7 linked regions of the Canis lupus familiaris genome follow. The protein of the gene in region 4 purifies or fractionates together with the protein of the main gene of each other region. This does not show direct contact. Links are inferred from orthologs where the notes say so. Each region holds a gene or a part of one and is shown on either strand. Other genes may lie near its edges. The genes, in order: DHX57, YTHDC2, NOP56, LARP7, HNRNPA1, SERBP1 and KPNB1.

The links.
Region 1: the proteins of LARP7 (region 4) and DHX57 purify together in Homo sapiens (affinity purification with mass spectrometry; 3 studies listed by BioGRID and IntAct, with this or other methods). This does not show direct contact. The link is inferred for Canis lupus familiaris from reciprocal best matches to the Homo sapiens genes LARP7 and DHX57.
Region 2: the proteins of LARP7 (region 4) and YTHDC2 purify together in Homo sapiens (affinity purification with mass spectrometry; 3 studies listed by BioGRID and IntAct, with this or other methods). This does not show direct contact. The link is inferred for Canis lupus familiaris from reciprocal best matches to the Homo sapiens genes LARP7 and YTHDC2.
Region 3: the proteins of LARP7 (region 4) and NOP56 purify together in Homo sapiens (affinity purification with mass spectrometry; 3 studies listed by BioGRID and IntAct, with this or other methods). This does not show direct contact. The link is inferred for Canis lupus familiaris from reciprocal best matches to the Homo sapiens genes LARP7 and NOP56.
Region 5: the proteins of LARP7 (region 4) and HNRNPA1 purify together in Homo sapiens (affinity purification with mass spectrometry; 4 studies listed by BioGRID). This does not show direct contact. The link is inferred for Canis lupus familiaris from reciprocal best matches to the Homo sapiens genes LARP7 and HNRNPA1.
Region 6: the proteins of LARP7 (region 4) and SERBP1 purify together in Homo sapiens (affinity purification with mass spectrometry; 3 studies listed by BioGRID). This does not show direct contact. The link is inferred for Canis lupus familiaris from reciprocal best matches to the Homo sapiens genes LARP7 and SERBP1.
Region 7: the proteins of LARP7 (region 4) and KPNB1 purify together in Homo sapiens (affinity purification with mass spectrometry; 3 studies listed by BioGRID and IntAct, with this or other methods). This does not show direct contact. The link is inferred for Canis lupus familiaris from reciprocal best matches to the Homo sapiens genes LARP7 and KPNB1.

What each region holds. Positions count from the first base shown.
Region 1 is NC_049238.1:31,071,694-31,075,646, reverse strand, and holds the start of DHX57 (putative ATP-dependent RNA helicase DHX57), read left to right. Parts: upstream 1-1,153; 5' UTR 1,154-1,224; intron 1,225-1,732; exon of another isoform or gene 1,733-1,943; intron 1,944-3,953. UniProt on the Homo sapiens protein: Probable ATP-binding RNA helicase.
Region 2 is NC_049232.1:3,802,006-3,806,251, forward strand, and holds the start of YTHDC2 (3'-5' RNA helicase YTHDC2), read left to right. Parts: upstream 1-1,446; 5' UTR 1,447-1,615; coding exon 1,616-1,799; intron 1,800-3,294; coding exon 3,295-3,385; intron 3,386-4,246. UniProt on the Homo sapiens protein: 3'-5' RNA helicase that plays a key role in the male and female germline by promoting transition from mitotic to meiotic divisions in stem cells.
Region 3 is NC_049245.1:19,017,361-19,021,363, reverse strand, and holds the start of NOP56 (nucleolar protein 56), read left to right. Parts: upstream 1-1,203; 5' UTR 1,204-1,331; coding exon 1,332-1,334; intron 1,335-1,490; coding exon 1,491-1,580; intron 1,581-1,878; coding exon 1,879-1,993; intron 1,994-2,479; exon of another isoform or gene 2,480-2,547; intron 2,548-2,685; coding exon 2,686-2,847; intron 2,848-3,020; coding exon 3,021-3,219; intron 3,220-3,318; exon of another isoform or gene 3,319-3,449; intron 3,450-3,566; coding exon 3,567-3,754; intron 3,755-3,831; coding exon 3,832-3,983; intron 3,984-4,003. UniProt on the Homo sapiens protein: Involved in the early to middle stages of 60S ribosomal subunit biogenesis. Required for the biogenesis of box C/D snoRNAs such U3, U8 and U14 snoRNAs. Part of the small subunit (SSU) processome, first precursor of the small eukaryotic ribosomal subunit.
Region 4 is NC_049253.1:7,458,554-7,462,053, forward strand, and holds part of LARP7 (la-related protein 7), read right to left. Parts: coding exon 3,422-3,500; intron 3,347-3,421; coding exon 2,996-3,346; intron 2,920-2,995; coding exon 2,775-2,919; intron 2,736-2,774; exon of another isoform or gene 2,668-2,735; intron 2,608-2,667; exon of another isoform or gene 2,538-2,607; intron 2,431-2,537; exon of another isoform or gene 2,362-2,430; intron 2,274-2,361; exon of another isoform or gene 2,206-2,273; intron 2,140-2,205; exon of another isoform or gene 2,065-2,139; intron 1,118-2,064; coding exon 969-1,117; intron 416-968; coding exon 297-415; intron 1-296. UniProt on the Homo sapiens protein: RNA-binding protein that specifically binds distinct small nuclear RNA (snRNAs) and regulates their processing and function.
Region 5 is NC_049248.1:45,637,728-45,641,945, reverse strand, and holds the start of HNRNPA1 (heterogeneous nuclear ribonucleoprotein A1), read right to left. Parts: upstream 2,801-4,218; 5' UTR 2,548-2,800; coding exon 2,533-2,547; intron 1,982-2,532; coding exon 1,865-1,981; intron 1,558-1,864; coding exon 1,411-1,557; intron 1,282-1,410; coding exon 1,071-1,281; intron 973-1,070; coding exon 880-972; intron 784-879; coding exon 691-783; intron 430-690; coding exon 355-429; intron 162-354; coding exon 3-161; intron 1-2. UniProt on the Homo sapiens protein: Involved in the packaging of pre-mRNA into hnRNP particles, transport of poly(A) mRNA from the nucleus to the cytoplasm and modulation of splice site selection.
Region 6 is NC_049226.1:43,506,323-43,510,327, forward strand, and holds the start of SERBP1 (plasminogen activator inhibitor 1 RNA-binding protein), read left to right. Parts: upstream 1-1,205; 5' UTR 1,206-1,327; coding exon 1,328-1,640; intron 1,641-3,198; exon of another isoform or gene 3,199-3,213; coding exon of another isoform or gene 3,214-3,301; intron 3,302-4,005. UniProt on the Homo sapiens protein: Ribosome-binding protein that promotes ribosome hibernation, a process during which ribosomes are stabilized in an inactive state and preserved from proteasomal degradation.
Region 7 is NC_049230.1:23,975,271-23,978,770, reverse strand, and holds part of KPNB1 (importin subunit beta-1), read right to left. Parts: intron 3,017-3,500; coding exon 2,909-3,016; intron 2,479-2,908; coding exon 2,335-2,478; intron 2,237-2,334; coding exon 2,131-2,236; intron 1,466-2,130; coding exon 1,351-1,465; intron 762-1,350; coding exon 600-761; intron 1-599.

The sequences.
Region 1 (3,953 bases), on a different chromosome or scaffold from region 4:
AACCAATTAGCAATCTAGGAAATGAATAACATAATTGGTGTAATGACTGAATAGCATAATGGATACAACGGAAAAGTAAATTGGTGAACTGGGATACGAAGTTGCAATTTTTTCCCAGAAAAAAAGCACAAAGAAAAAGACAGGTATCACCTGAGCAAAGCCTTTCTTATCTCCCCTCACCCTAGACTCATCTAGGCGTCTCCACACACTTAGAACCCTGTTAAAACAACGCTTTTGTGCTGGAATCCCCAATCACAATACCCAGCTCGCCCAGGTCAGGGATCAGGGATTAGTCAAATCTTTTTTTTCTCACTCTAGTGTCCAGTTTAGTACTTAGTGGTAGGTGCTTAGTACTTGTTCGTAGGAACTGAATGTCTAGTGAATGAATGGCACTTGGGAAGCAGGCATTAAGTGCTTACCAAGCAGTGCTTTATCATACAAAAAAAACCTGTTGTTTTTTTTTTAAGATTTTATTTATTTATTCATGAAAGACACAGAGAGAGAGGCAGAGACAGAAGCAGGCACCATGCAGAGAGCCCGACGTGGGACTCGATCCCAGGTCTCCAGGATCACACCCTGGGCTGAAGGCAGCGCTAAACTGCTGAGCCACCCAAGGATTCCCAAAAAAAACCTGTTTTCAAATGCCCTTAAATTGCTCCACATTTGAAACTTTGTAATGTTAGAGCGAGGGAGAACCTAAGAGATGTGGAGACCATCTGGCACCACAGAGGAAACTGAAACCCAGAGATGATGGCACTTGACTAAGATTTCACAACAGCCAGTCGATGGCCGAATCAGAGGTAGAATCCAGGTGTTCTGATCCCCAGGCCAGGCGGGTTCTCCGTGTGCCCCACGCCATGCCCAGTGTAGACGATCAGGAAGTAAGTCACAGCCACACCGGAGCCACCAGGGGCCACGCTGCGGCGTAAGGGGAGTTCTCCTTGGGGCAGCCCTGTGCCCTTCCGCGCTCGGGGCATTGGGAGGAGGGGCACTCACTCGACAGAGGTGTGTGGCAGAGATTTTCTTGACTCCGCGATTCCTCCGGGGCCGCCAGCTCTACCGCAATGAGGGAACCAAGGGCTAAGTGGGTGCGGAGCGCGCCCTGGTTGCCGGGGCGACGAGGCACCTCTCACCCGGAAGTGAATATGCGAGGGGCCGAAGCGGAGCCAATCAGAAGACAGCAGGTTGTGCTGCCGCAGAAGGGCCGCGGCGGAGCCGCTCCAGGTGAGGTCGCGGTGGGTGGCGAAGCCCTGGCGGGACCCCTCGCCTGTGGGCGCTGCCTCCGACCGCCGCCCCGGGAAGCAGGCTGCGAGCCCACCACGGCCTCCCGTTCCGCGGACCAGGGATGTGTGCCGCCGTGGTTGTCGGTGTGCGGAGCCGTCCCCCGCCTCCCTCCCCGGGGTGGTCGGGGTGTGAGGAGCGTCCGGCCGGGTGGATCCAGGCAGGCCGCCCGGGGCCGGTGGGTCTGCACCAGCAGGATCCCGGGTTGTCCGCGTCCCGGCTGGAGGGGTAAAGAGTTGCATTGGAGAGGCTCGGGTTTCCTTTCTTGTCCCTGGTCATCTGGGTCTGAGTGTTTGCTGGCAGAAAGGTACCAGGTGTGGGCATCTGCGTGGAGCTGGCTCTATGGGGCCAGAGGTTTGCTGGGAAGGGAGTGGGTGTGATCGGTTTTAAGTATCCCGTTTGGTGATTCTGCGCCTGGGGGCCTGTTTTGGGTGTGAAACAAAGGATCCTCTTTGAGCCCAACTTAGGTCCCTGTGTCCACGGTGAAGAAAAAGTAGTTGGAATCTTCCCAGGCTAAATGGAATAAAATAGTAGATTTATCCTTGTAGATGATACAACCCAATTCCCATTCCCTCGAGAACATCTGGAGTGAGTCGTATTGGATACAGCCAGCAAGTCTTCCTTCAACATTTTGAGAGCAGATCGCAGATCAGGTTGTGAAGGTGACTTTTTTTTTTTTTTTTTTTGGATGGGTGTGAGACAGGTTGTTGATCGTTGTTAGCCAAGCTGGCTGGGGCTTGCTCTGGTTGGCTACCCACTCTTTAAAAGTCAGAGCGCGGTAACTTCTTGCTTTTTTCCTAATGTATTTTACTTACACAAACTTACCTGGTCTGGGTGTTTTTTGAGCCGAAGTTCTGATCTTTCTGTCTGATTTGTATATCCTTTCCCTTTTTCTGAGTTCTAGAAATAATAAGTAATTATTGATGCACAACTTTACAGAATTCAGTTTGTCCTATTTTTTTGACCTCTTGTTACGCTTTTAATGACCCTACATTTTTGTGAGTATATATATACATATAAGCACCACTGTTTTTACAGAAGAATTTGAGGTAGTTGGGCTTCTTAGGATATTCTTATCTAAGAGATCTGGAGTCAGGAAACTTGCAATGAAGGGATTTAAATTTTTTTTTTTATTTAATCATGAGACACAGAGAGAGAGAGAGAGAGGCAGAGACACAGGCAGGGAAGAAGCCGGCTCTTTATAGCAGGCTGGTCCCTGGGATCCTGCTGGTCCAGACTCACCGGCCCCGGTCAGCCTGCCTGGATCCCACCTGGCCTATGCAGGACTAGATCCCAGATCCCAGAATCACAACCCAAGCCAAAGGCAGCCGCCCAAACACTGAGCCACCCAGGGTGTTACGGGATTTTAAATTTGGATTGGAAAAGTGTATTAATCATTTTTTATTTTCCATATTTTATTATATGTTGACACCTTAGGGGCCTGGCTCGCCAAGAAACTGCCCTTGGCAGGGATAGTTAACGGACCTTGACCTGTGAACATGCTTTTCATATGCAGACCGACCCCCAACGACCTACCTGCTTTAAGTAATTTTTGCCCACCAAGCCAATTTTTCCCTACCCCCAAATCAACCCAGGGTCAGGTCACAGGCAACCAGGACAGCCCCTATGCCCCAAGTCTGCTGGAATTATTTTAACTGGCCAATCCTAAACTGTTTATTCTGCCTGCCTTTCCTGTGGAAACCCTAAGAAGGACTATGGCTTTGCCTTCCCCTGGCTCCTTTGTGCCTCCTGACTGACACTTGGTGCTTCCTCCTGTGGCCTGGCCTGGCGTGGCGTGATGTACTTCTCTCCTTTCTGGCCAAACGGGGAATAACGTTACACTTTTCTTTTGGTGACATTGACCTCTTCTTGTCACTTTTATAAATTAAGTCCCAGGCACAAATCCAAAGAAGTCTGGTTTATCACTGAACTTTGCATTGACGATACAAGGTACATATTGATGGTGAGGAGGAGGAGATACGGTAGAAAGAATTTTGGCTGGGACACCCAGGTGGCTCAGGGCGTGGAGTCCCAGGATTGAGTCCCGCATTGGGCTCCCTGCATGGAGCCTGCTTCTCCCTCTGCCTGTGTCTCTGCCTCTCTCTCTGTGTTTCTCATGAATAAATAAATCTTAAAAAAAAAAAAAAAAAGAATTTTGGCTTTGATGTCAAACAGATTGTTTCAAACCCTGGCTTCAGACTTTGCTTCTACACATTAGGTGACATTAGACAAGTTATATAATTTACTTGTCCTCTAAGCTCCTCCTCTGTAACATATAGATGATAATATTTACTGTACTAGATTTTTAGAGGGTTACATGAAATAATCTTACCTTTCCCCTCAATGCAGACTGGTATATTCAACTACCTTCAGTATGTCTCCATGTAAGTATCTAATTGGCATCTCAAAGGCAACATATCCAATCTGCATTTGTGACGCCCTCCCCAGATCTTTTCCTCCCCAATATTCCAATTCTGAGCACATGACACCACTATTTACCCAGTTAACCTAGGCCAAAATTGTAGACATTTCTTTCTCATACTTTTCGTCTAATTCATCTACATTTAAAATACATTCAGAAAATCTGTGACCAGTTTTCAACTCTACTACTCCCACTCTAGTCCAAACCACCTTATTTTTCCTCTATTTGTTCTGCCTGAACAACTGCAATA
Region 2 (4,246 bases), on a different chromosome or scaffold from region 4:
AACTATGTAAATGTAAAGTTCCTCTGATGGTAATGAACTTGATGTGTTCAAGTGACAGAAAGTAGTGCATTTGAGCCCTGAAAATGAGGATGAGATGGTGAGAGATGAGATTCACGGAAATAGGGCAGAGGCCATTTCAGGCAAGTTTTTTTTTTTTTTTAAAGATATTTTATTTATTTATTCATAGAGACACACAGAGAGAGAGAGAGGCAGAGACAGAAGCAGGCTCCAAGCAGAGAGCCTGACGTGGGACTCGATTTAGGGTCTCCAGGGTCTCCGGGATCACGCCCTGGGCTGCAGGCGGCGCTAAACCGCTGTGCCACCGGGGCTGCCCTCAGGCAGGGTTTTGAGTCATGGTAAAAAATTGTGGGCTTGTAGTAGTTGCAATGGGGGAGCTACAGGAGCGCTTCATGTAGGAGTGTCATCCTACCTGGTTTATATTTTAAATATAAAATTTATATTTTCTTTATAATATAAAATATAAGCCAGGTTCACTCTGGCTGCTCTCTGCAGAATGGACCATGGGAAAACCAGAGTGGAAGCAGTTAGGGTGGCTGGGATCAGGTTTCTCTTAGTGGCGTTGTGTGCAAGCAATTGCACATTCTCACAACCTCCTTTGACCTTCAAAACAGGAGTTCCATTTTCCTTCTTCATCATCTCCTATAGCACTTACGACTATCATTTAAAACAATATTATATATATTCATGAGATAGGCAGAGACACAGGCAGAGGGAGAAGCCGGCCCCCTGCAGGGAGCTCGATGTGGGATTCTATCCCAGGGCCCCAGGATCAAGACCTGAGCCACCAGGTGCCCCTTATAATCATCATTTGACATCATTTAAGCACAATTGTTTATTGTTTGTCATTCTCCTTTAGGGCGGCCACCTAAAACACAGGCGCTCTGTTAAAATTGCATTTCGGGTAGAATAACTTTTTTTTTTTTTTTTAAACTATATGTGTTCCGGAATATTGCATGGGAAATACTAAAAAACGACTCCTCTTTTGAAATTCAAAGAAACGGGGCATCCTGCATTTCTGTGTGCTAAACCTAGCAACTCTACCCCGGCTAGAATGTGAGCTCGGTGAGGGCAGGAGGCACGTCTGTCTGTCCGGTCCCCTCCTGTACCCGGGGTGCAGCCCAGCGCCTGCCGGGCACAGAGCGGAAGCCCGCACCGGCTCACGGCGTGAAGTAACGAAGGATTTAAGGAAAGAATGAGTGACTGAATAAAAGGACGCACGGGATCCCCTCCGTGCGGCGGGGTGTGGGCGGAGGACGCGGAGACCGGAGAGGACCGACAGAATTGGCCCGGCGCCGGGTGAGGGAAGCACAGCAGGGGCCGGCTTCGGCCGGGCGGCGAGGGGCCGCCGACGCGCTGAGGTCACCGGCGCCCGCGGCCCCCGTGACGTCATCACGCCCGCGCTCTCCGCTCCGCCGGGACGAGTGGCGCCGCCGCCTCCTCGGCTGCTGTGACGGGGGCTCTCTGGTGACCCTGGCCCAGAGCAGGCTGCCTGCGGAGCGGAGCGGGCCGGGCCCGGCAGCGGCCCTCTGTCCCTGTCATTGACCGCCAGCGCGCAGGCCTGGCCGCTCCGCCGCGGGGAGAACTCCTCAGGGCCATGTCCAGGCCGAGCAGCGTCTCCCCGCGGCCGCCGGCTCCTGGTGGCGGCGGGGGCGGCCCAGCTCCGTGCGGCCCGGGGGGCGGGGGCCGGGCTAAGGGGCTGAAGGACATTCGTATAGACGAGGAGGTGAAGATCGCGGTCAATATCGCTCTGGAGCGCTTCCGGTACGGGGACCAGAGAGGTGAGGTTCCCGACCGGGCCCGCCGGCTGCTCCGCCTCCCGCGAAGCCGCGACCCGGCGTGTGAAGGGGCTGCCTCAGGGGGTGGGGGAGGGAAGACCTGGGCGCCCCCTGCCCCCCCGGCCCACTGCAGCCGGCCTCCGCGGCGGGTGGGCGGGAGGCGCTACGCGGGGGAGCGCTCCCTGGGATGCGCGGCGTCAGGCGGCTCCGCAGGCTTGAGGCGCTTGCCGGGCACTCCTGAGAAGGTGGGAAGCGTCGGGCTGCCCCCTTGCAGGAGGCGGTTCTTTCCCTAGAGAGGGCTGGAGGCAGCTTGGGGCGTCTAAGCCACAGTTTTTAGATATTGGTAAAAACTGGTTTTGGTAGATTAAACGTCTTTCACGCCTCTTAAGGGTCGGCTCCTTGTCTTGCGTCGTGCCGTGCAGAACCCTCAGCCAACCCGCGGGGACCAGTGCCCATTCATTTTCTTGCCTAAGTAGGGGACTCTTCAAGCCCAGAACAGGCAGTGACTTGGACGGAGTGAACTTAGATTAAACAGAGCCTCACTAATATGTAACAACAAATCCAGTCTAAGATAGTGAAATATGAATTCTGTGCAGTTTTGCAAGCAAAGACAGTGTGATGTTGAGCATTCATAATGCTTGAGCATACCTCAGCACGGGAGGAGATGAACCGTTTGTTAATGATGCAAGTTAAGGACTGAATTAAAATAGTAAAACACATTCATCAGTCTGTCATCATACCAAAAGAAGATTTCAGCACAAATAAGAGGAGTAATCTTTGGTGAACATTAGAATCCTCTATCACGTTTAGATTTAATTTTTATTAATATGGTAACTCTGGCAGACATTCAATTTTATTGAAATAATATCTGCTTTTCATACAAAATATAAATTTGATTATATGCTTATATGATTTTCTTTTTTTTAGAGCTTTTTAAAATTTTTATTTAAATTTATTTTTTTTAAAGATTTTATTTATTCATAAGAGACACAGATAGAGAGGCAGAGGCTTAGGCAGAGGGAGAAAGCCTCAGGCTCGGCACAGGAACCCTGATGTGGGACTTGATCCCAGGACCCCAGGATCAGGGCCTGAGCCAAAGGCAGATGCTCAACCACTGAGCCACCCAGGTACCCCATATTTTATTTAAATGTAATTTGCCAACATATAGTATAACACCCAGTGCTCATCCCATCAAGTGCCCTCTTTAGTGCCCTCACCCAGTTACCTATCCCCCAACACCCTCCCCTTCTGCAACCCATTTTTCCCAGAGTGGAGTTTCTCAGGTGGGGGGGAGGGGTAGACAGGGAGAGAGGGAGAGAATCTTAAGCAGGCTCTATGCCCATCAAGAAACCCTACTTGGGGCTGGATCTCACAACCCTAAGATCATGAGGGGAGCAGAAATCAAGATTTTTTTTCATTTTTTATATCTATGTTTGTATATTGAGGCACCTTGAAAGATAATTGTATATTCCCATTTTTTTTTTTTTTTTTAATGTAGAAATGGAATTTCCTTCTTCTTTGACCAGCACTGAAAGAGCCTTTATTCATCGATTGAGTCAGTCTCTTGGTTTGGTCTCTAAAAGCAAAGGGTAAGCTGATAGCTTTTCTTATTTAAAAAGAATTATTTACCAAAAAAAGAGAGAAATGTTTCTCACTCCATTTAAGGAGTTATTGTTTTAGATTCATGTCCTTAATTATATTGTTTGTAGATAAATTGATTAGTATCTATACCAAACTCAGCTCTTTCCTTTTCCTGGTATCCTGCCCTTTTTTGTTTTTCCTTAGGGGTAAAAAAAATTTTTAAATGCAAGGAAATAGTTTAAAAGTTGAAATTGCTTGCTTGAGGAAATGTTTTCTTTTTTCATAGAAACTAAATCTCCTTTTTTAAAAAGGATAGATAGACTAAAGATAATAAGTATGATTATCTACAGAAGTATTTCTTTTAATGTTACTGTACTATAGTGGTAACTGTAGAATACATAATCATTGTTTTCTTTCTTACCAGCTCAAGAATCTGATAATTAGAAATGGCTAAATACAATGGACCAGGAAGAAACAGCATATGTTTTTTTGAGGGCCACTGACCCCTAACGGAAAAAAGTCATTTGAACCATCCAAATTGAAGAACTCTAAAATTATGTGGAACAATTTCATTTTGGGAATAAGGGTGCTAGGATTGATACATAGCAAGGTTTCTTAATATTGGCACTATTAACATTTTGAACTGGATAATTATTGTGGAGGGCTGTCTTGTGTATTGTAGCATATCTGACCTTACCCAGTAGTACCTCCACCTGCAAAACCAAAAATGTCTTTAGACATTGCCAAAATGTTCTGTGGGGAGCAGAATTTCCAGTGAGGAGGGAAAGAAAGATAAAATTTCAGCTTAGCAGGGTTTAGGTTAAGAAGAGAGATAATAGGGCAGCCCGGATGGTTCAGAGGTTTAGTGC
Region 3 (4,003 bases), on a different chromosome or scaffold from region 4:
CTTTAGTAGATAAGCACCTGTAACCCCAGGATTATTTAGGGTTAAGTACAGAAATAATGAAAAAATCAGTCATAGCATTACTATTTTCCATTATATTTTGGAATCATCTGCTTAACTTGGTATCTATAATTTAAAAGAACTTAACACACTGATGTATGTAACATTAGTTTTGCAATTCCACCTTAAAATGAGACAGTAATGAAAAAAAAGAGAGACAGTAATGGATTCAGACTCATGATCATATGTAAATGTATGTAGCAGAATTCAATCACGTTTTAAGCAATACTGAGATTTTTAAGATTCACTGCATCTTTGAGGGAGCTCACTATTTGGATTTTGTTTACCAAGGAAATGAATTGCTTAAGAAGAAAATGCATTAAGTGTGTAAATGCGCTTTAAGTTATGGGAATATAGGGAATAAAAATCCCCTCAAAAAAATTTTTTAATTTACCACTTTAGGATAAACAAGTGTGGGGTTTATCATTCTTATATTACTTACTAAAGTAAAGGTAATTTCAAATTAGTCGCCAGAATGCCCAAACCCCGCCCTCAAGGACCTGGAAGCACCTGAGAGCGCTTGGAGCTACTGCGGGTTCCGCGGGCGGGCGGGCGGGCGGGGCGAGCAACACGTGGCCCTTCCCAAGGGACCGGTCCTGCTTCCGTGGGGGACCTAGAAACCGACCTGGGAGCAGGTGAGATGGTCACCCTTTTCTATTTTATCGCCTGTAATAAGCATTTTTGAAATAATAAACAAAATGCACCCGAAAGGCAAGAGGCGGGACACGAGGAGCCGTGGGTCTCCTTTCACCGGGTCTGCGCACACGCGCCACAGGCCCCGCTTCCGCCCGCGGGAATAGCGTGGCCCCCGAGCGGGAAGCGGAGACGGCGGGGCCCCGGGGTGGGGGGGAAGGCCCCGGACCCCCGGACCCCCGGCCACCGGCGCCGCGCAAGGGGGAACGGCCTCCCGCCCGGCTCCTCCTAAGGGAGCTCCGCCACCCGGATCCCCGCGAGGCGGACCCGAGGGGCCGGGGCGTTCTCCGGAGAAGCGCCTTCCCGACCCGCTTTGCGGCCTCGCGGGGCCGGGCCCAGGCCGCGCGTCCCCGGCAACCGCGCGGAGCGGCGCCGCGGCAGAAGGCGGAAGACGCCCGCGCGCCCGCGCTGGCCCTCCCGCCCTCCGGGCGACACCACCGCCGCGGACCCCTCCGAAGTCCCGCAAAGGTATCGTCCCCGGCCTCTGATTGGCCGGCGGCTCGGGGGCGTGGCCTCCGGAGCCCGGGTCCGCGCGCCAGACCCCGCTCGCCGCATTGCGAGCCGGGCCGGGAGCGGGCGCCATGGTGAGGAGTGGTTGTGGGCGCGGGGGAGACGAAGGCCGAGGTTGGGGCCGAGTCGGGGCGGGGGCCGGGGCCGGGGCCGGGGCCGGGGCCTGCGCTGGGAGCCGGGGCGGGCGAACGCGGAGACCGTGCTGACGCTCGCGCCCGGCTCCGTTCCAGGTTCTCCTGCACGTGCTGTTCGAGCACGCGGTCGGCTACGCGCTGCTGGCGCTCAAGGAGGTGGAGGAGATCAGCCTGCTGCTGCCGCAGGTGGGTGGAAGCGGTGGGCTCGCCGCCGCGCCGCAGCCCCCCGGGCCGCCGGGCCCCAGCATGCACCGCGCGCTCCCACGTGGCCGGCCGCGCTTTGGGGGGTGCGCTGGGCCGGAAAGCCCGGGAGCCGGGGGTCCTCCGCTGCATCCGTGCCTACAGTCGCGTTGGGAGCATGTAGAAGCCAGCACCCCGGGATTTAGGGCCTGTAATCGGCTCCTTTACGGAGAACCGCTGCTTTACTGCGCCCTAGAGGCAAGAGCGAGGGAGGAAAGCCATTCACGCTCTCTTCTCCCCGAAGGTGGAGGAGTGCGTGCTCAACTTGGGCAAGTTCCACAACATCGTTCGCCTCGTGGCCTTTTGTCCCTTCGCCTCGTCCCAGGTTGCCTTGGAAAATGCCAACGCTGTGTCCGAAGGTGAGTCGACCACCACCAGGTAGGTATTTGAGGGAGATGACCGCAGGGTTAGTAGCTGCTGCTCTTATTCTCATAGGGAGTTCATGATCCCGTTTTCCTTTCCTCAGCTGATTTCTTACAAATCTGATACGTGTTGGGCAGTATTTGATGTGTACAGGATGTAGTTTAAAACAGAACCCAAGGTCTGGAGAATATGGTATGCTAAAAGTTTAAAGTGTATATTCCAGGATAGAGGCTTTCTTTGTGGTCCTGACAGCGATAAATGATTAAGTGAAATCTGGTAGGTGTGCTTTAATGCTAAAGGTGGTTCTTTGGTTATTATTGAAGTGATTGGAAAAGGCAAGAAAAATAAGTTCAGTTCCAAAAGGCGAATCAAATACTAAATACTTAACCTCTATAGTTTCTCCGGGTTTAAGGTTTCAATTCTGTATTTCACACTCATGCTATCAGACCTGAGTCCTATTCCTCCCATAGTTGATGCAGGCTTTGCAGTGATGACTTGAGTCTGTCAATCCCCTGAGTGCAATCACTGATGTCTCCATGTCTCTGAGCAAAGCCTAAAGCAAAGAAGGAACTCAGCATGCTCTGTGGGACAAATGTAGGATCAGTCTGTCATTTAATTAGCAGTTAAGGGGACAGGATCCCTTTTATGATTTCAGCATGTTAGTGGGAGCTCTATTCTTTGCCTTGAGGTGTCGTTCATGAGGACCTCCGCCTGCTCTTGGAGACTCACCTGCCATCCAAAAAGAAGAAAGTACTCCTGGGGGTTGGAGACCCCAAGATCGGTGCTGCTATACAAGAAGAGTTAGGGTACAACTGCCAGACTGGAGGCGTGATAGCTGAGATCCTGCGAGGTGGGACCACCTATTAACATTCACAACATTCTTGACATCTCTGAGGGGGGATCTAGTCACTTAACCAGGGTGCATAAGGTTGCTTCTAGGAAGCCCTTCTGCTTGGCTTGGTGCCCATGGGCGCCGTAACTGGCTTAGAGCCTTCCCTTGCTCACTGACTTGTCCTCTTCCAGGGGTTCGTCTGCACTTCCACAACCTGGTGAAAGGTCTGACAGATCTGTCTGCTTGTAAAGCCCAGTTGGGGCTGGGACACAGCTATTCTCGTGCCAAAGTTAAGTTTAATGTGAACCGGGTGGACAATATGATTATCCAGTCCATCAGCCTCCTGGACCAGCTGGATAAGGACATTAATACTTTTTCCATGCGTGTCAGGTAAAGTGCCCAAGTGACCCTTGAAAATAGGGTCTTTGGCCTGTGGTGTAGCTAATTTCACATGCTGAAATCAGGACCACTTCCTGTGGGGTGGGGCTGAGCCTCCCAGTGCTTACCACAGGCTGTGTTCTTACACTGGCTGTACAGAAAGAGGAGGTAGAGTAAATCCACCCATATACACCCCAGCCTAGGCTCTTTGCCTGGTCTGTATTGTGAATGGGAGGACACGGAGTTGAGGTTTTGAATTGTACTTGATTCCTTTTCTCTGGGTAAAGAATAGATAGAGGGCTGAGGTTGTAGCTTTGAGATCTAGTCGCTGAGCAAGGAGTGATTGTGGCTCTCTGCAGGGAGTGGTATGGGTATCACTTTCCTGAGCTGGTGAAGATCATCAACGATAATGCTACATACTGCCGCCTTGCTCAGTTCATTGGGAACCGAAGGGAGCTGAATGAGGAGAAGCTTGAGAAGCTGGAAGAGCTGACAATGGATGGGGCCAAGGCTAAGGCTATTCTGGATGCCTCGCGATCCTCCATGGGTCAGTATAGCCTGGTGACCAAAATAAATTTGGGGCTGTGGATATCTGGTCCTGCATTCACACTAGGTGTCCCTTAGGCATGGACATATCGGCCATCGACCTGATAAACATCGAGAGCTTCTCCAGTCGTGTGGTGTCTTTGTCAGAGTACCGCCAGAGCCTGCATACTTACCTGCGGTCCAAGATGAGCCAAGTAGCCCCCAGCCTCTCAGCCCTAATTGGGGAAGCGGTGCGTTGTGGGGAACATAA
Region 4 (3,500 bases):
CATTCAACTACACAACAACCATTAAGGGCACCTTGAAAAATAAGAAAAAAGTACAGTTCTATAAAAGGATGTTTAAACTGTACTCAAGTCTGATCTAGTGTACAATTTTAGACTTCAGATTTTGCTTCAAATCAAACACAATAATTATTGTGGAATCAAATCATACAAGTATTTTTCCACAGAGGAATAAATTCTAATTTGATTTGCTTGGTTTTCTATAATGCAAAACATTTTCATACAGGGAAATTTTAAAGAGGAAAGAGTTAACAACTACCCCTGACACACAAAAGCATTACCCTGACTTGTTTCCTGCCAGGTAGAGGCTCAGTGCTAATGATCTTCACAATCACGCCACTCACAAACTGTGGTCCCGCTGCATTAACCTTTTCCTGGGAACAACACTCTTCACTGTTTGCTGTTGATTTGAAAAGGAAAGGCCAGAAATAAGCCTCTTACACTTAATAAGTTAACATAGTAGGCCCATTTTAGAATAACAATGAAGACTTAAGCTGATTTAAATAATTAATTCAAACTTAATTTTAAATTAACTGTAAAATAATTTAGTAAGTTATGTTGCCTGTCCTGCTTATTGCAGATTACCATGAAATAAAATACCGTAACTTATACCACTCTAATTGCAAAGTGTTGTTAGAAAAACATTTGTAAAACCTTAAAAAAACAAACCCCGACCCTTTCCCTTAATCAAATAAAAAAGTACTGAACTTAATAGACACAAAATAAGTAAAAAGATTCTATAAACATGATTAAAATGTGAAAAAATTATACTTTCAACTTTTAAGAATTCAAAATAATATCTTAATATATTAGGATAAGTTACGGATGAGAAATTACAATTTTTGTTACTACAAAACTTGCTTAATTCATAAACTAGGCACTCATTACTAAATCTGATGAAGAATGAAAATTTAATTATGTAATGCTACAAAAACTATCATAGTGCTGTTTACTTTTTTCAGTTTTTATTTCAGATGTAGTAGGTACTCCATTTGTTTCCATTTTTGACTCTGATTTCATTTGGGATATCGTTTTTTTTAAGGAAGCCATGCTGGCCTTTTGCAGTGCTAAATACTCTTTTTTCAAATCCATCCATTCGCTCCTGCAATGAAAAGAATGCACTTTTGAAATAGTGAACACAGATGAGCAAAAGTAAATATCTAAATACATACATTCAGTATCTTGTAAGCGCTCCTAACTTTTCCTTCTTTAAACACACACATTCAAATTACTTCTAGAGTTCTAAGCGATCCAGGAAATATGAAAAGGGAAGTTTCCCCTGACCTAACATTTAGATTAAATGTTTTAAATTTTGCAATTCAATTCTTGAGTATGTTTCAAATATTTTTATTTATGAAAATAAAAATTTTGAATTAATTAACTAGTGACAATTAGTCATCTCTGGGAGAATAATTGCAGATTATAATTTAAAGATTATTAGTTAAACTGCTTCCAATTTGGGAGATAACATCCTTTATTATTTACCCGAATCAAAAGGAATTTCTAAGAAGAAAAAAACACCCCATGGAAGCAATTTATTTATTTACATACATTTAACATGTAGATGTTTCTTCAAACAGCTAGAGGTCCTCCAGATAGAAACACAATGCCTCTCCAGGCTCCACAGGAGCACTCATTGTTACTCTAATCTATGCCATCAAACTAGCAGATAGGGGATTTTTTTTTTTTTTTTTAAAGAGGAGGATATCTTGTGGTAATGGTCTTAGCTGTTATTATTGACATCTGTATACTTCAAAAAAAAAAAAAAAAAGTATCCAGACCCACCCAGGATCGTACATTCCCTGAGAGCTGATACATTAGAATAACAAAAACCTCTTGTAATGATTCTCAGAGATAAAAAGGCAAAAGGAATTCAGCAGTTAAGAATAGTATAAATACAAGTGCCCGAAGTCCTTGCCTTTTAACCTTCAAGGGGAAGACAAAACGCTGGGAGAGTACTATTCGGGGAAAATTAAGAAAATCTTTCTTCCCAAAGGTATGGAATTTTTTTTTCTTTTAACTTGCCTTCCACCCCTCAAGTGGATTGGACTCCCTTTAACTTTAACATGGAAGTACTTTCTTTGACTTTCAAAATAGTAAGTGCTTCCATGTTTTAGTAGAAGTGAACCCAAATTATTCCTCCGAATGTAATATGGCAAGTTTGTTAATTTTAGAGCCCCGAGGGATTCCCCTTTGCTTTAACATGGGGGTACCTGCTGTGTAAAACAAAAGTAAGTGCTTCCATGTTTCAGTGGAGGTGTCTCCAAGTGGACACGACTTAATTTCTAAGCTTACTTTACAGGTTAAAGAATCTTCACAATTTACGTTTTTCCAAGACTGGGCTCCCCACCACTTAAACGTGGATGTACTTGCTTTGAAACTCAAAAAGTAAGTGCTTCCATGTTTTAGTGATGGTAAGTCTTACTTTTACATTTTAGAAGTTTATAAATATTTAAGACTGCCTCACCGAACTACCTGTCTGGTATACTTACGCTGTATTTTTTTGAGTCTATAAGGAACGCCCTCTACTTTAACATGGAGGCACTTGCTGTGACATGATAAAAATAAGTGCTTCCATGTTTTAGTGTGGTGGTTTCCTTTTTAATCCTCAGTCATCCTAATCCCATAATTTATGCAGATCTTGGCTACATGCCATGACTGTTGCTAATATGCAACTCTGTTCAATACAAATTGGAATTGCACTTTAGCAATGGTGATGGAGGGTGTCCATCTACACCAGAACTCTATTGTCTACCTACTTTGAAAGGACTCTTAATGGTATAACTTCTTCTCCCATCTTGTGCCTCTCTTTGTGTTTTTTCTTATGCTTCCTTTTTGCTTTTAAAAGGGATCCATCTTTCACATCTCCAGTATCCTTTTCCTCTTCAGTAGAGACTTCTAAATCTTAAATGCCAGAAAGGAAAGACATAAGTTTAAGAAAACTTTGATTATACAAGCTCAAGATAAATGTTGTTGATACCTTTGTTTTCTTTGGAAACTTCTAAATCTTCTTTTTTAATGTCTTTCTGAGTCACTTTCTTTACTTTTGACCTGGGAGTTGGGGATTCTGCTTCTTCAGAAATACTTCTCTTTCTCTTTCCTGTTCTAACTATAGGTAGGCTGGATACTTCTTGTCTTTCCCGTTTTTTCTTTTTCTTTGAGGGCGGCTTTTGGGGTTCAGTTATTTCTACCTCTGATCCCTCAGACGTGGTCCTCGATCTTTTCATTTTAGCAACACTCTCCTTATCTGTGTCCGTATTTAACTCTTTGGTCTGGATACTGTCTTCCTTCTTCATTCGGCCTTTCTTCTTCTTCTTCTTTTTCTTTTCTTCTGTAACGATGCTATCATTAGTTTTCATTTTCCTTCAACTACATATGCTTAAGTATTAATATTGAATTAAATTACCTGATACTCTAAGGACAGGAATGGGCTTATTTTTTACTGTCTTAGGAAATACACCAGGTTTTCTTGGTGCTTCTTCTGG
Region 5 (4,218 bases), on a different chromosome or scaffold from region 4:
ACCACTACCACCGCCATAGCCGCCTCCGCCTCCTCCGTTGTTATAGCTGTCATAGCTGCCACTCCCGCCATAGCCACTGCCCTGGTTTCCATAACCCTGTCCACCACTTCCATAGCCTCTGCTTCCTCCAGAGTAACCAGGGCCGCCTCCTCCATAACCACCTACAAGAATACAATTCTTCTCAATAAGACAAAAGTATTTCACAGTCAAAACCTGTGCAAGTGTAATGCCTAAAAGCCTGCTCACAGCATGCTGTTATCAGAGCTGTTTATCATGCACTAGTTTAGCTCTACTAACCTAGTCTAAAGGTTGCCAAACGAAACTCCACCTATATATTCCTTAAAATAAACTTACCGTCATTACCAAATCCGTTATAGCCATCCCCACTGCCACCATATCCACCACCACCTCGACTGCCACCGAAGCCACCTGAAAGAAAGTAGAGTTTTAAACCACCATGAAGTGTACAGAGTATACGTGTTCTATGTTGTTTTAAAGTAGAATTCTATAAAGATACTTCCTGTGCTACAAAAATGATCCCAATGTTGATGATTTAACTTTCTGGTTAGTAAAAAGCCAGATCTACACTTGGATAAAATTTAAGCCAGGAGTTAATCTGCTGCAGAGGAAAAAGGGACCTGGGGATAATCAAAGTATAAATTTATTGTTAACTTTGAGTGGTAAACTTACCTCGACCACTGAAGTTCCCTCCACGACCAAAGTTGTCATTCCCACCAAAACCACCTCCACGACCACCACCAAAGTTTCCAGAACCACTTCGGCCTTAAAACACAAAAGTTTTAAATGTTACATTATACGGATTGGAGAATCACTCAGTTAATTAATCCTCACGTGCAAGGATTAACTGAACAAACGCACCTCTTTGGCTGGACGAAGCACTAGCCATCTCTTGCTTCGATAGGGCTTTCCTTACTTCACAGTTGTGGCCATTCACAGTATGGTATTTTTGAACTAAAAAAAAAAAAAAAATTCCAAGAGAACATGACCTCAGGCTTTAGAACGTAACATGGATTTCAGAAGCCGTAGCAAAGAGCATGCCCGACACTTACTGACAATCTTGTCTACAGAGTCGTGGTCATCAAAGGTCACAAAAGCGAAACCTCTCTTTTTGCCACTGCCTCGGTCAGTCATGATCTCAATCACTTCGATTTTCCCATACTGTTCAAAATAATCTCTTAGATGATGTTCTTCAGTGTCTTCTTTAATGCCACCGACAAAAATCTTTTTCACAGTTAAGTGGGCACCGGGTCTTTGAGAATCCTATTGTTGGGGGGGGGGACGGGACGGACACAATTCCGTTATTTACACCGACCAAGCCACCCCTAACCGCGAGGTCCCCTTGGCGGCCCGCTTCTGCGTCTGCCCAGGAAAGAATAAACCCTCACTCACTTCTCGGGAGACAGCCCTCTTTGGTTCCACGACTCTTCCGTCCACCTTGTGCGGCCGGGCGTTCATGGCCGCGTCCACCTCCTCCACGGTGGCGTACGTGACGAACCCAAAGCCTCTGGAGCGCTTGGTGTTGGGGTCTCTCATTACCTGAAAGGTGAGCTCCCTGAATACTGAGGAGAACCCCGGAACTTCTCACGCTGAGTTACAAATTAAAAAAAGAAAAAGAAAAAAAAAAAAAAAAAGAAAAGCGCGCCCCCTCCCCCCCCCCCCCGCCCGCCCACGAGGCCCTCCGGCTCCCCGGGGCCGCCACACGTGCATCTCCTCCCGGGAGCGCCTCCGCGGCTGGGACCACCCCTTCCGGCGCCGGCCGGCTCTCCGCCCCAGTCCCGTTAACCGCCGTCGGAGCGGCGGAAGCCACCTCGCTCCCGGGCCCTCCGTCTCCGGCACGTCTTACCACACAGTCCGTAAGCGTCCCCCATTGCTCAAAATGGCTCCTCAGACTCTCATCGGTCGTTTCGAAGCTCAAACCTCCGATGAAGAGTTTCCGCAGCTGCTCGGGCTCTTTGGGAGACTAGGAGCGGGGACACAGCTCGTTACGTGGCGCGCCCAACGCCCAGCCCCGTCCCGTTGGGAGGAAAATCCTAGACAGCAGCGTTACAAGGCACGTATTGTTCCCTCGGGTTACGGGAGGCCACGTGCTTCTCCCCTCGGGGGGGACCGAGCGGTGGGGGCTGGGAGGCCGCGGGCGCATGCGCCCCGACTCTCCCTCCGACGCACGCGCAACAAAAGGACTCGGCTGGACGGACGCCGAAGCGGCGGGGAACTACGGCTGCTCCGCAAGAAACTCGCTCCCGGAGACACGATCAAACAAAACCCGTCGAATGCGCCCGCGAGTTCTGCCGGGAGGGCGCAGCCCGGCGCCACAGCCAAGCGCTGCAGGACGGCGGCCTCATGGCGACGACGAGGACAAAATGGCGACCTCAACTTCGGGAGGGGAAGGCCCTGGCGGCCCCCGAAGGGCTGCCGAACGGGCTGGCGCGAGCGGCCACGCCAGGCCGCGTCCTACCGGCCCCAGGGAAGGAGTGAGGAAGGAAACTAGGCGGGAGACAGCGTGTTACTCACCTCTGACTTAGACATGACGGCGGTGGGAGGGGAGACTTTAACGATGCTTACTCGGCGGCGTCCAGGGGCAGAAAGGAGTAATCTAACGAACGTATCTGCCAGCCTACCTTCGGCCTCGCTTTTTTATCCCGCCTCCTCGCTTTAGGCATTGGTAGACTCCGCCCCTGAGCGTCTCTGATTGGATGTTTGCGATAGCCTCCCCCTGCTATTGGTCTATAGCCCCGCACTGCTGCGCAACGTCATCCGCTTGGGCGTTCTACGCAGGCTCCGCCCCTTCAGGTCTATTGGTTCCCGGGTAATATTATTCCTAATTACTGTGATTGGCTCGTCAACCAGTCATTCATATTTGAACGAACCTAAGGTATTTAAATGAATTTTCAATCCATTCCGCCCCGAAATTATGTTCCGCTCAGTTGGCGAAGCACGGTAAATGCTAATATATTACGAACGAGGTTATCAGGTGATTTTTTTTTCTTTTTTTTTTTTTTTGCAAACGACCGCCCGCCGGGCGCATGTGTAGTAAAATGGCGAGTTTACGCAGGCGCACTAACCAGTTCCGCTCGGCGCTTGGAGCACGTGAAATGGCGGGCGGGAGACGGCGGCGACTCTACGGCGCCTGCGTCGTGGCGGGAGTCGCGCCCCGCTCTGCGCAGGCGTAATGGGCGGAGAAAGGGTCCGGTCGCAGGATTGGCCGCGCAGGCGCAGGGAAGGATCCGTTTTGGCGGGCGGTTGGCGTTGCGCAGAAGGCGGCGGCGGCGGCGTCCCGTGGTCCGGCCTCGCCACAGAGGAACAGGGGAGGCGTTGGCGCGAGTGGCCGGTCTCGATTCCGGGTAAGCGGCGGATCGTCTCGCCTACTCATACGAGGTGTTGAACTGACTCCAATTGGGCCCGTTATTGTGTGAAATGAATGGAGCGCGGGGTGGGGGCTCGTAAAGGGGGAGCGCTGGGTTCAGCCAACCAATGGACGGCGGGGGCGGGATGTCTGCCGGCCGGGAGTGCCGTGGGGCTCCGCGGCCCGGAGTCTGACTGGCTTGCGCGCGGGCCAATCGGGTCCGCCTTTGCCGCCGACGGACGGGCCCTCGGGCCCTCGGGACGTGGGGGCGGGCCCTGCGCCCTGAGCAGCGTCCCGCCGAGCCAATGGGCGCCGAGCGCGCCGTAGGTTGGGCTCCTCGGAGGCGGCGGGCGGACTCCGAGGGGGAGGCCCCGCTGTGGAGCCGGCGGCGGGCGGCCTGCGGACGGCGCCCGGGCGGGTCGCCCAGTCAGCGGTGCGGAAGCGGGAGGCCTCGCTGCGGGCTGTGGAGGAGCGGGCGGGAGGGCGCGGGGGCGCGGGGGCGCGCGTTCTCTCCACAGTGGCCGCCGGCGCCCGGCGCTCGGGCCTTCACCCCACACGCGTTTCCGGTAGGGAGACCCTGACTCTGTGGCGTGTCGCTTCGGCTTCGGCATAACCGCTCCACGCGCTCGCGCACGCGCACGCGCACACGCACCCCGGGGCTTCTGGTCGCCCCGCGCGTGGAGGCTCCCAGGGGAGCTCGGCCGGTCGTCGGGAACCCGCTTGGCCGGCAGCGTCCGCGCGCATCGGAACAAGAGCCGCTGCCGTCGCGGACAGGCGCCGACCCACGTGTGCGCGGAACGCCGCGGCCTTCCCCGGACCGGTGGCGGATGCTCGTGAGCCCGCAGGAGAAGTGT
Region 6 (4,005 bases), on a different chromosome or scaffold from region 4:
ATAGGTAAAATTCTCTGAGGAGCACAAGTAAACCTCAGAAACTCATAGCCACACAATTCCTCTAAATGGGGCTTATCTGTAAGTATTCTTATTGTAATAACACTTGATAGTCATAAAGATCTGTTTGAGGAAACCAGGGATCTATACATAAGATAAAAATTGCTAAGGATAGTCCTACCCCACTCCCTAGCTTGTGGTAACATGGGTAAGTTAGTAAGAGTTTTACCAAATATGTTTGAATATGCACTGACATCATCTATTGCCTTACTGGACCTTAATATTCCCAACTAATATCAATACTTTTAGTAATGGCAATTAATTTGCTGACATATTTTCCCTACCCTCATCGCATCCCTCGGCACCCTTACACACTCGGATGCTTTAAAACGTTTCTTGAGCACATTTTACTAACACCTAATCCTTGGCTTCCCGGACGCTAATGGACAACTGGATTGACTTCAGAAAGTGTTCCTACAAACAGTGCTTTTCGAGGCTTGCCCTCTGTCTAGTTAGTGCCGCACTGTTAGGAGTTAGCTGCGATGAATGCACCCATCGCAACACTCAGGAAAGGCGCGCAACACCGCCCTGTGAGACAGTTCAACTCGTCTCTGATTAATTGCGCTAACCCAGTTCGTGTCCCCGCGAGAGAAACCGTATTCCTCCTCACATTGAACAGAAGAGTCTCGATTCATTATTGGCGGTGCAAGAGGGCGACTCCAGCACCTGGGCAGCTAGGGACTTGGAACGGATCGGGACCTGCCTCCGCGAGGCCCGCGGGGTACCTCAGCAACACCCTAGCACTAGAAGTTTGTAAAATCTGGAGTCACCTTGACCCACCCCCGGAGGTGAGGAAAGTTAGTCCTGGACTGGAGACGGGGTGAGTAAAACCAGAGACAGAGAACTTTCGCGAGCGAAAAACGCCGTCACGTTTTCCTGTTTTCGGTGTAGCTCAAGACCCAGAGAGTTTAAGGGTGGCTGGAGCAGGTGGCAGGACTCCGCCCACCACCGCGCTTCCACTCCCTCTGCTAGCACGCTCCACTCCCTCCGTGAGGTCCCGCCTCTTAGGCGCGCGCGAAGAATTGTCACGCCACGCATCCTGGGAATTGTAGTCTTGGCGCCGGGGGCCGCCTCAGGAGAAGCGACTCTGGCCTACATACCCCATAGTGCCGTGCGGCGCTGGCCGCTCCCGGATGTGTGCCTGGCGCCGGAAGAGAAGCCGGCCCCCCTCTCTCGGCCCGGCCATCTTGTGGGAAGAGCTGAAGCAGGCGCTCTTGGCTCGGCGCGGCCCGCTGCAATCCGTGGAGGAACGCGCCGCCGAGCCACCATCATGCCTGGGCACTTACAGGAAGGCTTCGGCTGCGTGGTCACCAACCGATTCGACCAGTTATTTGACGACGAATCGGACCCCTTTGAGGTGTTGAAGGCAGCAGAGAACAAGAAAAAAGAAGCCGGCGGGGGCGGCGTTGGGGGCCCTGGGGCCAAGAGCGCAGCTCAGGCCGCAGCCCAGACCAACTCCAGCGCGGCAGGCAAACAGCTGCGTAAAGAGTCCCAGAAAGACCGCAAGAACCCGCTGCCCCCCAGCGTTGGCGTGGTTGACAAGAAAGAGGAGACGCAGCCGCCCGTGGCGCTTAAGAAAGAAGGTAAAGCTGTGGTGGAAGGTGGGGGAGACCGGGATGGAGGGAAGGAGCGAGGGGGACTTGCGGCTACCACTTGCTTTCGGAGTTCCGAGGGCCCGCGGGAGGCTTGGCCGCCGATTGCCTCCCGTTTCTCCTCGCGCTACAAAAGCCAGGTCCCGCGAAGGTGCCGGGAGCGTGGTAGCCCCAAGTTGAAGCCACCTGCGAGGCTCCTGGAGTCACCCCCTTCCCGCCTCAGTTTCTGAGCGGAGGAGCGTGCCCCGGAGATAAGCTGCTGCTGCTCGAGCGCGCTGCTGTCCTGGGAGGCTGTTGCCTTCCCGCCGGATTCCTTGGCGGGCAGGCGCGGCGACCGAGGTCTGAGGTCTGGGCGAGCTGGCCACTGACTGAAGCATTTGCAGTTACGGGCAGGCGTGGGGTCCACGGCCCCTTCCCACTCGGAGCTCGCCCTCGGCGTGCTGCTTTGAGGTGCGCTTGGCTCCTCTCCTGCCATCTTGTCCCACGAGGGCGCGGAGTACCCCCCAGCGAGACGCCGGGGGTCCGAGTGCACCTGACCTACTTCTGGGTTCCGTGGAGTGAGCTACGGCTTCAGGTGCCCCATGTGCCGTGTAGTCCCCTCTCCTCCCTTCAACTCGTAAGAACAACTAACTTGCTGGAGCGAATTAAGCTTTTGAGAAGACAAATGTGCTTACACTGTGGTAAGCAGAGGCGGGAATTCTGAACGAAGACTGGTTATTGCAGGAAATCCTGAGCTCGTCCTCTCTCCCCGACACCCCATCCCACCCCCTCACTCAATATTTCGTGTGGTGGCCCGGCCGGGGCCTCGTGGTGAATTGAGTGCAGAGGCTGTCACAACGTTAGCCCCAGCAGAGCGCTTTTGAATCTGTAGCTTTTTTCTCCACGTGTGCGTGAAGCATGGTCGGGATTCATTGGCGGGTAATAGTTGTTTCCAGAGGTCACTGTAAACTTCACAGGGTTGTCTTGAGGTTGATTTCTGCATTCTCTTATTGCTGGTTTGCCTTCTGTGTGGACAATAAAGCAAAAACAGTTGGAGGATAAAACGTGTACCCGATCAGCTCCGGAACTTTAAAAGTTGCCTTTTTATGTTAAAAGTTGAAATTACCTTTTACTGCCACGTGCTCCTGAAAGAAGTTGTTTCTCATTAGTTTTGAATTTTGTAGCATACAACTAATTTTCAGAATCACCAATTGTGTTAGGTTTTGGCTCAAGGTTTTTTTTTTTTTTTTTTTTTTTAATACAGAACTCCTGTGATGCTTGGAATGAAGAACCTATGATGAATAAAACAAAATAATTCTTGTATCAAAATTACAGGTTGGGGAGAAGCAGAATTTGGAGTGTTGGAAAGCTGGGTATACTTCGTTTAGACCAAATATCTATTCAGTCATCTTAAGTTTTAAAGCAACCTGTAGCACAGCTAAATAATTATTTAATTTCTGCGTTAAGGGACACAGGCCTGTGTTAATTATTATTTTTGCTCAAGTTTACCTCCTTGATCTCATTAATCCAAAAAAGTGCCTGAAAACGTTGAGCCTAATGTTTAAATCTTAAGTGTACCAGGTAGATGTGTTTCACCCATTTTGAATGTTTAAAGCATGAAACCTGGTTTAAACCCCTCAGTTGTTTTGATCATAAAGCCCATCTTGGAGGAGGTAAGCGCTTAACCTGGGACCTAGTATTTTAAATTACAGAGGTGGAGAATTATTATATGAGTTTATAACCAGAATGGAGTTCACCATTTAGTACTCTTTCCTTGGGAAAACTTCCATATTAGCTATCAACGTCTTCCTTAGATCAGCAATACATAGCAGTCTTGCTCTTAAATTGCATAAAACATAGTCTTAAAAATAAAAGGGAAATGTTGAATGAAAAAGATTTTTTTTCAGACCCTACTACCTGTCAGTTGATGTTCAGGGGCATTGGAGAAGGATAGACTTGTAAAAAGTCCACTTCGTGCAGTGGGAAAAATTGCTACCTGATTATGTGATCTTTGCCTTTGAATATAGGTCCTGGCAAATGCTAGACATACCTTAGATACAGTATCTAACATGATAGGAGTTTTGTCACTTGTCTTTTGTCCATTTGAAGAATTTGAGAACTGACACCACAGAATGTCATCGCTAAAAATGTAGACCAAGGCGTTTTTAAATTTTTTTTTTTTTTTTTCCGAAGCCTGGAATCGACTGAAAATCCAGTGAGTTTGCAAGTACATACAAGTAGGTTAAGAGAAGCTTGAATTTTTAAATGTCAGTCATAGGGTGAAATTATTTAGTAAATTTTTTAGGTTCTGTAAGCATAATAGTGAAATTGGGTGAGGAAGGAAGCCATTGTTCATTTGGGTGTGTTTGGCTTGGAT
Region 7 (3,500 bases), on a different chromosome or scaffold from region 4:
CTTGTATTCCTATGTGCCAACTACCTGCTCTCATTAGCACTTACATTAGAAGGTGGCAGGGACACTAAAAAGATAAAACTCAAAATAGTGTTTTACTGAGATCTATGGAGTAAGAGGATGAGCATGTGAGAGGAGAATAAATTAAAACTACATATAAAAGTAGGGGTCAGACAACTCTTGACTTGGGACATCTTCTGCAGAGCCACACAATGCCTAAAAGCATTGCAGTAAAAAAAAAAAAAAGGAAAGAGCAGGAGGAAGGGAATAGAGTAGAAAAGAGAATTCTGGGAAAATGCCATTACCAGTAACTTTATTAGGGCCCAAAATCAGTTGGGGACTTCACTGACTTCTAGTTACATAAGTTCTGTTCTTCATCACCAAGAGGAATCAAACACTTGGCTCAAGGAAATACTGAGGATGCCCAACCCCTCCACTAGTACAAGCCTAAGGAACTAAGGCTTGGCTCAAAAGCACTTATATGGGAGAGAGTACAAAACAAAACACCAAGAGAAAGGCATCCCTTGTTGGAACAGTCTGAAGAAACTGTGCCTCCTCCCCTAGAAAGTGGAAGAAAGAGGGCAGTGGGGACAAGCTCTTACCAAGCTTGGTTCTTCAGTTTCCTCAGTTCTTTTGTTGCCCATGTAGCAAGGGTTTTTGCTTTGTTAGTCTTCGATCTCCGTCCTTCTGTTAACAGTTCATGGATCATTGGCCTAGCTTCTACTAATTTCAGTACATCCTTTCCAAATGCTGTACACAAGTCCCTGTGCAAAATAAACACACCTAAATGAGCTCCTGGCCTCATCCTGCTTTCCTGTTTTGAGCCAGTGCTAAGCTAATTGTGGGTCTCCTAGGATTCGCCTAGCTTTTAAAGTTGGAAGAAATTTTAGGGAAAGTCAAGCACCTGATCTCTAAAGACGTGAAAAAGGAGGTCTAAAGAGACAGGATGACTTACCCTGAGGTCCACAACTAATTTGTGGTTCTTTCTTCTAATGATATCTCAGAAACTTTCAATAGGGGAGGCTAAACATAGGCAATCTGTTGACCAATCTCAGAATATGGGATGGACACACATCTGATGCTACTTCTATACCTCTGAGAATTCACTTTACAGACTTTACCGAAGAGAAGTTAGAAATCTGGAGGGTCTGGGATGAGACTAGAGCTAAGGTCTAGAATGAATGATCACCTGTCAGAACTTGAAACAGGACACCATGGATTCTATTAAAGAAATAGCCATACCAAATAAGTGGGTAATTACCATTTAGGCTACTCTCAAAAGTTCTTTACCACAGGTCTTCTCATTTTCCACGAGAAGTTCTATTCAGCTGTTGGAAATAGGATATAACCTACCCTATCAGTCCAGCAGCACAAGCTACTACTCCGTCTGTATGATCCTCATCTCCAGCAATGTGGTCAATGAAAGACAGAATAAATTCTACTCTGGGTTGTACCAGCATGACATCCGCTATAATAGAAAAGAAAAGGTCTGATGAAGCTGCCCCACCTTTGGTAGGACTATATACCCCATTTCAAAATTTCCAAATATATTACCCCGATTAGGCAGGTTTAGGCTGGAGAATTAGTTGCATATAGTTATATCAAACTATTCCTCAAATCAAGAGGTCATCCTTCACGCTAACAAAAGAGGCAGATACTCCTCTTATAAGCATAGAAATAACAAATGGAACCTCTCCTCTAAGCCCATGACATCAAAAGACGTAAAGGACAAATATTTCCCCAATCAATAACAGAAACATCATGTGGGAGAGGAAATGTGCTCTCTTAATCTTTTAATTCAATTGCACTGGAAGTGTGTATGTGTGGTGTGTATACGCTCAACAACTGCCACTCAGGGCTCATGTTGATATGACTAGCACCAATAGCCTTGCTGGATCCCATTCCTTATGGTGCTCAAGAAAGGTAAGACAAAGTAGAGGAAGCGGGGCTGAAATAGCAAAGACTATATCTTTGGATACTCTTCCAAAGCTACTTTCTTCATGAGGGTACTGTTCCTTCTCCTTCTCCCCTTCTTCTAAGCAATAGGTGCTAGTTCATAAGCTACAGAACCAAAGACACAGCCCATTTGGCTACATGAACTCTGGACTAAGTCCACTGGGTTTTATACTCAACGGTGCACGTTTTCCTGGTCTCCCTTCAATCCCTGGACAATTCCGGTATAGGCCTCCAAGCAGCCTTCTCTTAGCTCATTCAGGTAGTCCACCATGTCATAGTCTGACTGTAAAAGACATCATACCAAGAGCCTTTAGTTGTAGGATTGTCAGAAATCCCATTCATCCCATCAGGGCTGGACATAAAAGACAACTTTAAGCTCACCTTGTCCACCTGGGCTTGGGAGGCCTGCTGAAGAGTATTCAAGACAACCTCTAGATATTTTTTAAACTCTCCACCAATAGCAAGAGCAATATCACCAAACACTGACAGAATCTGTGGTTTCACAGACCTGTGGACATTTTCATTCTGACCGGGGGCAGGGGAGAAAAAGAGGGAAATCAAATTAATTAAAGCCAAAATATTCTGTCTAAAGGTTAAAGAAACATTTTTAAAATAATAAAACTACTAATACACTGTACAGACCTTAAGGACATACCTGTACAGACCTTAAGGACATACCCAAAAATTAACAGTGGCTATCTCTGGACAGAGGAACTACACATATATTTTACTGGCCTTCCTGCCCACCCTGTTCCACGTATTGCTCATGGCTTCCTTTAGTTAATTTTACAACCTTACTTTGTAGAATCACATTGTGAAAATGAAAATGAATAATTTTCTTCATGAGGCTAAGGCCAACATCCTGGCAACCCGTCTGTGCCCTCACTTCGTTTTTAATCATCTTTTCCAATTTCTTCAAACGCTAGTAAATTAGATTATGTGTGTAGACACTCACCCCCAGGTTTTCCAGCAGGAGCTGCATCACCTCATCACAGAAAGGTAAGATGTTGGACTGCAGAGCTCGGCATAAGTCTCCTACTAAGCCCACAGCTGCCAAACAAACCTGCAAAGAGTCAAGGAAATGATCTCCGAAACAGAAAAGGCCACCTGCAGGATAAGGCCATTATTTTTATTTGGCCACTGGTCCTTTATCACTTGAGCCTAGAGCTGAAGAAAAAAACACATCTATCTCCTCAAGTAAGTTAAGTAGGCCCCATGCACAGTGTAGAACCCATCGCAGGCTTGAACTTAAAAACCCTGAGATCAAGACTCAGATGCTTAACCAACTGAGGAGGCACCTAGGCACCCCGAGTTCATTTTAACAATCCATACAGCAGAAAAAGAGTGAAGACTCTTCAAGATATTAAGAAGGGACGGAAATGACAATATTCACTGGGAATGATGATGACAAGAGCTCAGTGGTTTAAAAAAAAAAAAGGGAAAAAAACGTTTTTTCAGGGTGCTAGGTTGAGGCATCTAATATCCTGCTTTTCATGGGCTACTTTTAGTTTCACAGCTGGGGACAATACAGAGACTACCTGGACTTT